Linked DNA regions of Callithrix jacchus. The protein of the gene in region 1 binds, or shares a complex with, the protein of each later gene. Links are inferred from orthologs where the notes say so. Each region holds a gene or a part of one and is shown in the gene's direction. Other genes may lie near its edges.

Region 1 (2,721 bases):
AAAAAAAACAACAACTCAAGACCACAGGAAATTACACTGAGAGCCCCGAGCTTTTTCTGCTCTGTATAACATTCTTGGTTACTCTTTCTTTGATGGTAACTCTGGGCTGGGATGCATTTGGGAACAGCCAATGGCAGATTGCTTCTTGTCTTTTGGCCTTTGTATAACTAGAGACTCGGCCTTTATTTTTTTGTCGCAGGGGGCACGTGACTCAGGATGCACCCATTCCAGGCTCCCCTCTGTACACCATCAAAGCCTTTATCCCAGCCATCGACTCTTTTGGCTTTGAAACTGATCTCCGGACTCACACCCAGGGACAAGCCTTTTCTCTGTCTGTCTTCCACCATTGGCAGGTGAGAAAACATCGCAGGCTGGCTGGCTGCGTTGGCCTCACACCTCTGCAAGCCTCATCCCCTTCTGTCCTGATCCCCCTCCAAGCCCTAAGTGAGATGTACAGCATCCTAGAGAAGAGTCCTCTTCTGGGGAGCATATATTCAGGGCAACTTGAATCTGTGTCTCTCAGTTTAAAAAAAAAAAAAAAAATAGAGGACCAGCACAGTGGTTCACACCTGTAATCCCAGTACTTTGGGAAGCCAAGGCGGGCAGATCACGAGGTCAGGTGTTCAAGACTAGCCTGGCTACCATGGTAAAACCCTGTCTCTACTAAAAATACAAAAAAAATTTAGCTGGGCACAGTGGTGGGTACCTGTAATCCCAGCTACTCAGGAGGCTGAGGCAGGAGAATCACTTGAACCCAGGAGGCAGAGGTTGCAGTGAGCCAAGATCGCACCACTGCACTCTAGCCTGGGCGACAGAGCAAGAGTCCGTCTCAAAAAATAATAATAATAATAAATTTAAAAATAAAATAGGGACTAACACAGAGAAACCCTGTCTCTACTAAAAATACAAAATTAGCCGGGCATGGTGGTGCATGCCTGTAATCCCAGCTACTCAGGAGGCTGAGGCAGGAGAATTGCCTGAACCCAGGAGGCAGAGGTTGCAGTGAGCCGAGATCATGCCATTGCACTCCAGCCTGGGCAACAAGAGCGAAACTCAGTCTCAAAAAAAATTTTTTTTTTTTCTGTAAAATAAATAAGAATCCTGCTTCTGGGCCCAAATCTTCTGGGGAGTCTGCCTGGGCCATCTGAAATTCCTTTGTCTTTTAGATTGTCCCTGGTGATCCTCTGGACAAGAGCATTGTCATTCGCCCTTTGGAGCCACAGCCGGCTCCTCACCTGGCCCGGGAATTCATGATCAAAACTCGTCGTAGGAAGGTATGTCTTCCTTGGGCCTGTTACCATCCCTCAACCCCCCAGAACTCTCAGAAGTAGGATCTCTATGTCTGTCTTTTGGCCCCTTTTCCTAAAGGACCCTTTTCCAATGTAAACATGTGATCTGTATACTCTTGAGGCAACTAGACCTGGGCCCTAGTCTTGCTGTGGAAGGAGAGCTTTATCCTCCTATATGATAGTACCCTGAAAGCAGGGCTGCTGAAACAACACCACCTACATTCCTGCTACCACTAGCCTCACTGAGCGCAGGTCTTGGGTGGCCTCCCCACTCAGTCTGCCACCACCTCGGGCTTTCTTGTATTTTTCTTGTATTTTTCTGCAGGGCCTCAGTGAAGATGTGAGCATAAGCAAATTCTTCGATGATCCTATGTTGCTGGAACTCGCCAAACAGGATGTTGTGCTCAATTACCCCATGTGAGTGCACGGACTCCTGGCAGCTCCTGCTCCCTACAGTGAGTTGCAACTCCTGCACTTGAAGCTGAGACCTGGTATGACATGGCCTTCGTGTTGTTAGAGTGTCTGGAAGCTGCTGTTGGTGTCTTGAACAACTCACCAACCTCTAACCCAGAGCGCCAGTGAGAGAGGAGCATTTGGCCTCCTGCTTCCTTCTGTGCCCTCTGCCAGGCTCCATTTCCAAGGAAAGAGAGGAGTTTGCTTGGACTCACAGAAAGAGAAGCGGGGATGGAACCCCCCCATCTTTGGTATTTACATGGAATTTTATTTTCTACAAGTTTGACCTTCGCCATGGTTTGCAAGTGAACAGAACATTTTGACCTCTGTCTTGCTCTGTTCCTTTCATCCCCGTCTCCCCTGCCCCATCTGGTCCTGGTGCTTACATTCTGAATATATGTCATCTCCCAAGAGGCTTCACTGCCTCTGCTTCCAGCTGCAGCCTCCTTCCTGCCTGAGTCCCCAGGGAAGCAGCCTGCCTTTTAATTCAGTGTTCTCATGAGTATCAAGGCCCTGTTTTTGCCCCCTTGCTCCCACTCCATGCTGCTTCAGGGTGGGACCTAAGATGGCTTGGGAGTTGTTGGTTCCTGGGATCAGAGGTCTACCCCAGCACCTCAGGAAATTGCTGTCCCGCCCCCCAAGAATCTCCCTTGCCCTAGGGTATGGGGCCAGAGCACTGATTTCCAGCCATTTGCTCTAAGTCCTCTCCCCAGCCACCACCAGTCCCTTACTCTGTTCTCCCCAGTGAAAAAGAGTCTGTTGATTTTCCTCAAAACTGCTTTATTAGAAACATACCAGGGATTGATTTAGGGAAGTCGGACTGCCTTGGCTCCTATAGGAGTCCTACTTCTCTCCAACGTCCTGTGCCATCCTTTTGACATAATCGCTATACATTGTGTACACAGTCCCTGTGTGAGGGAAAAGAAGTCATGCCCCTTGGCATTGAACCCTTCACCCATCCTCTGTCTCTCTCAGGTGT
Region 2 (3,653 bases), on another chromosome or scaffold:
GAAGGTGGAAGGATAGGGTGGGACCTCATTGCTCCCTCCTGTTCTTCCCTTAGAATCCAAGAAGTCTCTGGAGGAGAGAGAGAATGCGCATGTCAACCCCACGCTTGCTATCCCCATGATCCAGAAAGGATGCACCCCCAGCGGGGAAGGGGCAGACAGCGAACCCCGGGCTGAGACAGTGAGCTGGCCCCTTGTCCCCCTTCTGCCCCAGCCTTTCTTTGCCCTGTCTGCCACGCTGTGTCCCTGCACGTAGCAGGGAAAGTCTGTGTGTGCTAGAGGCCCGCCACCTGCCCCTTCTCTTGCCATCCTTTTCGGAAGCATTACCAAATGAATCTGGATACCTGGATGCTAAAAAAGTACTTGAATCCTAGGATTATCTGAATGAGATGTGCAGCAAAGGGAACAGGAAATGTAAAGGCCCTCAAGGTAGACACTGCCTAGAGTGTTTGCTGACACCAAAGAGACCAGTGTGACTGAAGTGGAATGAGTGAGGGGAAGGGATAGTAGATGAAGTCAGAAAGGAGACAGGGTGCTAGACCAGGCAGGGCCTTGTAGGCCATTGTGAGGACTTTGGCTTTTACTCTGAGTGGGGTGAGAGCAGGGACAAGCCCTGAGCAGAGATGAAATATGATTTATAATTTGACAGCATCCCCCTGGCTGCTGTGAACAGAATCATTAGTGAAGGTGGAAGCAAGGGGCTTAGTCCAGGCTAGAGATGCTGGGGGCATAGACCAGAGTGGTCTGGAAGGATAAGCAGGGTTTAGTAAGAGAGGGAAGAACAAACAGAGTGAGTACTCCTGTTGGTAGCAACAGCCTAAGCAATGACATAGTAGCAGAAAATCGGTGTGGCAACTTGTATCTCTGGAGTGAATGTGAAAGAGTGATGATGGGAGGTGACAAGGGAAGAGGTTAGAGGTGTTTCTACAGAAGTAACCAAGTCTGTCTTTCATACCCGCAGACCTGACTTTTCACCTTTTCTTTCATAAATTTCTTGCACTGCTTCTTTGGAGTCTAGTTCTCCTACACCTGCAGACCACTCTCCCTTTTGACTGAACTGTTATTTCCTTCATCTTTTTTTTTTTTTAACACAGTCTTGCTCTGTCATCCAGGCTGGAGTGAAGTGGTGCAATCTTGGCTCACTGCAACCTACCCCTCCTGGGTTCAAGCAATTCTCCTGCCTCAGTCTCCCGAGTAGCTGCAGTTACAGATGTGCGCCACCATACCTGGCTAATTTTTGTATTTTCAGTAGAGACAAGGTTTTGCCATGTTGGTCAGGCTGGTCTTGAACTCCTGACCTCAAGTGATCCACCCACCTTGGTCTCCCCAAGTGCTGGGACTACACCTGTGAGCCACTGTGCCCAGCTCCTTTATCTTTAAAGAAAAAAAAAGATCCCACTTCACTCTTCATCCTTTCATCCTGTTCCAGCTTTGGCCTCATTCCTCTAATTTTTCCCTCTATAAACCTCCTCCTGCAGATTTCCGCATCTCAACTGACCAAAATTTCATCCATCCTTCCTCTCACTCAGCTTAAAAACCTTGGAGACAGCTGGGCATGGTGGCTCACACCTGTAATTTCAGCAGTTTGGCAGGCTGAGGCAGGCGGATCACCTGAGGTCAGGAGTTCGAGACCAGCCTGGCCGACACGGTGAAACCCCATCTCTACGAAAAGTACACATATTAGCCAGGCATGGTGGTGCACGCCTGTAATTGCAGCTACTCAGAGGCTGAGACAGGAGAATCGCTTGAACCCAGGAGGCGGAGGTTGCAGTGAGCAGAGATTGCACAATTGCACTCCAGCCTGGGCCACAGAGCAAGACTCCATCTCAAAAACCAAAAACAACAACAACAAAATCTTTGGAGTCATTCTCAATTCCCCTCTTTATTTCATGCCCCGTCCAATCTGCCAGCACAATTCTATCATCTTTTTTCATAATGACACCCAGAACTGACCACTTCTCACCACCACCAATACCACCACAAAGGGCTGAGCCACCAGCATGTCTCATCTGGACTATTATAGTAATTTCCTCACTGGTCCCTCTTGTGGCTCCCACCTGGCTCAGGGTCCTCTGACTTCTGCCCAGCTTTCCTAATTTAGTCTCTTCGCCACCCTTCTCTGCTCTCTACTCTCACCATCATGGTGACTTTCGTGATACTCCTCACACCTACCAAGCCTTGTCTGGCCTCAGGGCCTTTGCTATTACAGTGCTTTCAGCTTGGGACACTTTCTTCTCATATCCTCATGGCTCCCTCTGCTGTTATCTCAACCCAGTGGCACTCCCTCTCCATCCCTCTGCATCCTCTTACCCTGCTTTCTTGTTCTTTACCTCACCACCTGACACATCATGTTCTCTGTGTTTTATTTATAGTGTGTCTCCAGTACTAGACTAGAAGCTCTGCAAGGGTAGGGGTTTTTGTCTGTTTAGTTCACTGCTTCATCCCCAGTACCTAGAACAGTATTTGCCATAGATTAGGTGCTTTATATTTGTTGAAGGACTGAATATGGAGGAGTACAGTGAGGGATGGAAAGAGGAAATCAAAAGTCACCCTTGAGCTGATTGGAAAAGACACATAGCAAGTCACACAGTGGGTGGCAGCAAGTGCACTTCAAATAGAGGACCCAATATAAGTAATACTGACCCTCCTTCCTCTGCCTGAACCTGTAGGTGCCAGAGGAGGCCAATTATGAGGTGGTCCCTGTGGAGGCCTATGGGCTGGCCATGCTGCGGGGCATGGGCTGGAAACCTGGCGAGGGCATCGGTCGCACCTTCAATCAGTGAGTTCTGGGATGGGGTAAGGGGACAGACAGATCAGGCTGTGATCAAGATCCCCAGGATCACTGCCAAACTGGAACCATCCAGGCAGGGAGGGAGGATACATTATTGCCCTAACTAATTCAGCAGCTCCTTCCACTACTGTGTTTTGTTTTATTTTATTTTTATTTTAGCCACAAAGGGAGAGGAATGTTTTGTTTTGTCTTCTTTTTTGAGATGGAGTCTCACTGTCGCCCAGGCTGAAGTGCAGTGGCGTGATCTCAGCTCACTGCAACCTCTGCCTCCTAGGTTCAAGTGATTCTCCTCCCTCAGCCTCCCGAGTAGCTAATTTTTTATTTTTAGTAGAGATGGGGTTTTACCATGTTGGCCAGGCTGGTCTTGAACTCCTGACCTCAGCTTATCCACCCGTCTTGGCCTCCCAAAGTGCTGGGATTGTAGGCGTGAGCCACCACACCTGGCTTCCACTTCTGTTTTAAACTCCCATTTGGCCTTCAGAATACTGTAATAGAATCCTATTTTTATAAAGTTTGCCTCTGGGGACATCAATTTCCTCATCTGAAAAATGGGGATAGTAATACTGACTTCACAGGTCTGTTGTGTGAGTTAAATGAAATTATACATATAGGCCAGGTAGTGGCTCATGCCTGTAATCCCAGCACATTGGGAGACTGAGGCAGGAGGATCACTTAACCTTGGCAGTTTGAGACCAGCCTGGACAACATAGGGAGGCTCCATCTCTACAAAAGATTAATTAATTTTAAGAAAAGAAATTATATACGTAAAGCACATACAGTAGGTCCTGGCCCCAAGAAAGCATAGACTAAACATTTACTATTGTCATGCAGACTTACTACCCTTTCTTTGCAATTGCAAACTCTG
Region 3 (3,653 bases), on another chromosome or scaffold:
TTCCCTATTGCTGAGCATTTACATTGTTTTCACGTTTTGTAATTACTAATAACGTGGCAACAAACAGCCTTGAGAAGTTTGCTTTTTTCCAGGTTTTTTTTTTTTTTTTGTGATGTCTCTGTCACCCAGGCTGAAGTGCTGTGGTGCAATCCCCGCACGCTGCAACCTACGCCTCCTGGGTTCAAGCGATTCTCTTGCCTCAGCCTCCTAAATAGCTGGGATTATAGGTTTGCACCACCATACCAGGCTAATTTTTGTATTTTTAGTAGAGACAGGGTTTCACCGTGTTGGCCAGGCTGGTCTCGAACCCCCGACCTCAAGTGATCCGCCTGCCTCAGCCTACGAAAGTGCTGGCGTGAGCCACCACGCCCAGCCCTGCTCTTTTTTTTTTTTTTTTTTGAGACGGTTTCGTTCTTGTAGCCCAGACTGGAGTGCGGTGACGCAATCAGCTCACTGCAACTGCAACCTCCGCCTCCCGGGTGCATGCGATTCTCCTGCCTCAGCCTCCCGAGTAGCTGGGATTACAGGCGCACGCCCCCATGCCCAGCTAATTGTTTTGTATCATTAGTAGAGACGGGGTTTCACCGTGTTGGCGAGGATGCTCGCCTGACCTCAGGTGATCCGCCAGCCTCGGCCTCCCAAAGTGCTGGGATTACAGACGTGAGCCCCCGCGCCAGGCCAGAAGTTTGTTTTTGAAACCCGAAACTCCTGCCACCAAACCTAGTCACTGACCACGCTCACTGGGGAGTCGTCACCTGTTTAATCTCTCTGCCGCGAAGATATATGGGAACCGGGGCACCCCGGAAGCGGAAATCCAGGAGTCAAACACGTCATTTCCTTCAGCTAGAGGAGCTCAACGGATCTGTTTTCTTTCGCTCAGGCAAAATCACAGAATGAAGGCGGTGAAGAGCGAACGGGAGCGAGGGAGCCGGCGAAGACACCGGGACGTGGATGTGGTGCTGCCGGCGACGGTGGTGGTGAAGCAGGAGCGTCTCAGCCCGGAAGCCGCCCCTCCCGCCCACCGTCGTCCGGACCACTCCGGCGGTAGCCCTTCCCCGCCGGCCAGCGAGCCGAGCCGCCCGGGCCACCGCGGGAACCGAGCCCGAGGAGTTAGCCGGTAAGTGGGGGAGCAGCCCAGGATGGACCTAGGGTTGGGCTCATTCAGAAAGGCGGGCAGGGCTAGCGTCCGAAACGGGTTTTGAATGCTGGGCGCAGCTAGCCCGGACCTAATCCAGAGGCGGTTGAGAGTGATCCAGTCGTGCCTGTGTTATGCTTGCTCAGTCACTTGCATGATAGCTCGGTGTTCAACGCCTAATGCCTAACTGGCAGGATCCCGTCCCTCCATTCTTGTGTCCCCAGCACTTTGCAAAGTGTGGCTCAGCAGGTAGCACAGATAATCTGTTAAATTGGAATGAGATTCTCCTCATCCCGAATGGAGGAATGGAGTGCGGGCGTTGTCTTTACAATTACCTGCCCAAAAAGTTTTCACGTCGACAGAAACTAAAAAAAAAAGTTCACATAGATTTATGCGTTCCTTCAGCGTAGTTTTACTGAGTGCCTGTTAAGTGTTAAAAGACTGCCCTAGGTTTTGGGGCTGCAAGGGTGATTCAGTTAGATGGTCTTCACCGTTTCCAAATCTAGCCCTGAGACAGACAATAACAAGAAATAAATAAAGTGGGTTTCAGTTAGTAACAAGTATTATTGACAGGTTAAAACAGTACTGTGATAGTGAGAGATTGGAGAGAAGAGGGAGGAGGCCTCTAAAGAGGTGCCATTTGAACTGCGACCTGACTGATAGGAATGATCCAGCCTCTGAAAGATCCAGGCAGAGGAAACAACATGTGCAAAGCACTTGAAGTAGAATGAATCATGATTGAAATGGGAAAAAGCCAGTGTCAGTGGAGTATAGTGGTCAAGCAGGTGGGTGGTAGGAATGAGATGGTATAGGCAGGAAGCAGAACCACAGGATGGATAAATTGTTATTGATGGTAGGGGTGTTGGTAGTGAGGGGTAAAGAGTCAAAGGTGACTTCTGGATGGTGATGCCAATTAACAAGATGGCAAAGAGTAGGAGAGGAAAGGTTTTTGAAGGCTTGGGAACTAAGAGCTATGTTATCTAAGTGAGAAGGTTCAGTAGAGAGTTGTCTTTGTGAGTGTGGAATGCGAGGGAGATGTTAGGGCTAGGAAAGTGAACCTCGTGACTATAATGTGTCTGTCAGAGACCTTCACAAATGTGGTGTTTGTGTTAGTATGTAAGCCTGATACTGGAAGCTAATTTTTATGGGGGAAGGGAAATTGAGTAAAATCCTGTATGTACCATGCTTTGTATAGGTCCCCACCCAAAAAGAAAAACAAGTCCTCAGGGAGAAGAAGCAAGTCTCCTCGGAGTAAGAGGACCCGAAGTCCTCACCACTCAACAGTCAAAGTGAAGCAGGTAAGTGGATTGGGGTGTTTTGATGTTGGGGCCACATAGAGAGCCTTTTCCTATCATAGCTAGAGAGGGCTGTGTATGTGTGTTGTGTGTGTGTGTGCACGCACACTCGCCTACATTTCTACTTGTACTTCCAATGGGCTTTTCTGAAAATTGGGTATATTTCTTTTTTTCTGCTTGTTTGCTGAAATTCACCTTTTTATTTTGAGATTATTGTTGGTTCACATGCAGTTGTCAGAAATAATTCAGAGAGATATACTCTGCCTGGTTTCTCCCAGTGGTAACATCTATTCATAACAGAACTGTGGTACAGCATCACCATCAGAATATTGACATCAGTATAGTCAAGATAACATTTCCTTCACCACAAGGAATACCTCCTGTTCTCCTTTTGTAGCCACACCCACTCATCTCCCACCTTTATCATTCTTTAACTTCTGGCAACTTCTAATCTGTTCTTCATTTCTGTAATGTTTTCATTTCAAGAATATTACATAAATGGAATCATACAATGTGTAACCTAATTTAGGATTGTCTTTTTTTCACTCAGCAGAATCCTTCAGAGATTGATTCAGGTTGCATCTCTCAGTAGTTTGTTCCATTTTATTTCTGAGTGATATCCAATAGCATGGATTTAGCCACTCACTCATTAAAGAACATCTGGCTTGTTTCCATTTTTTGGCTATTACACATAAAGCTGCTATATAGACATTTGTGTATAGGATTATATGCGAACATAAGAGTTCATTTCTCTGGGATAAATGCTCAGAAGTGCAATTGCTGGATTGTATGGTAGTTGCAGGTTTAATTTTTTTAAGCAATTACCAGACTGTTTTCCAGAGTGGCTGTATTAGTTTACTAGGGCCACCATAATGAAATGCCATAGAGTACGTGGTTTAAACAACAGAAATTCATTTTCTTGTAATTCTGGAGGCTAGAAGTCAAAGATGAGGATGTTAGCAGGTCTGGATTCTCCTGAAAAACATCCTCTCTCCTTGGCTTGTAGATGGCTACCTTTTTACTACATCTTCACATGATCTTTCTCCTGTCCTGGTGTCTTTTCTCAGCCATATTGAATTAGGGCCCTACGCTCATTTTAACTTAATCAGCTCTGTAAAGACCTCATCTCCAAATACGGCTATTAATACATTCTGAGGTACTTGCGTTTGGTACTTCAACAAGCTAATTTTGGAGGGCACAATTTAGTTCGTAACAGTGGCTGT

What was found.
Region 2: EFTUD2 (region 1) and GPKOW share a complex: the UniProt entries of both Homo sapiens proteins name them as parts of the minor spliceosome. The link is inferred for Callithrix jacchus from reciprocal best matches to the Homo sapiens genes EFTUD2 and GPKOW.
Region 3: EFTUD2 (region 1) and SNIP1 share a complex: the UniProt entries of both Homo sapiens proteins name them as parts of the minor spliceosome. The link is inferred for Callithrix jacchus from reciprocal best matches to the Homo sapiens genes EFTUD2 and SNIP1.

Annotation. Positions count from the first base shown.
Region 1 is NC_133506.1:85,259,468-85,262,188, reverse strand, and holds the end of EFTUD2 (116 kDa U5 small nuclear ribonucleoprotein component), read left to right. Parts: intron 1-199; coding exon 200-353; intron 354-1,166; coding exon 1,167-1,274; intron 1,275-1,614; coding exon 1,615-1,710; 3' UTR 1,711-2,069; downstream 2,070-2,721. Other genes in the region: HIGD1B (HIG1 domain family member 1B), read right to left, coding at 2,586-2,650. UniProt on the Homo sapiens protein: Required for pre-mRNA splicing as component of the spliceosome, including pre-catalytic, catalytic and post-catalytic spliceosomal complexes. Component of the U5 snRNP and the U4/U6-U5 tri-snRNP complex, a building block of the spliceosome.
Region 2 is NC_133524.1:49,668,939-49,672,591, reverse strand, and holds part of GPKOW (G-patch domain and KOW motifs-containing protein), read left to right. Parts: intron 1-53; coding exon 54-178; intron 179-2,666; coding exon 2,667-2,776; intron 2,777-3,653. UniProt on the Homo sapiens protein: RNA-binding protein involved in pre-mRNA splicing. As a component of the minor spliceosome, involved in the splicing of U12-type introns in pre-mRNAs.
Region 3 is NC_133508.1:74,105,665-74,109,317, reverse strand, and holds the start of SNIP1 (smad nuclear-interacting protein 1), read left to right. Parts: upstream 1-829; 5' UTR 830-893; coding exon 894-1,117; intron 1,118-2,330; coding exon 2,331-2,433; intron 2,434-3,653. UniProt on the Homo sapiens protein: Required for pre-mRNA splicing as component of the spliceosome. As a component of the minor spliceosome, involved in the splicing of U12-type introns in pre-mRNAs. Down-regulates NF-kappa-B signaling by competing with RELA for CREBBP/EP300 binding.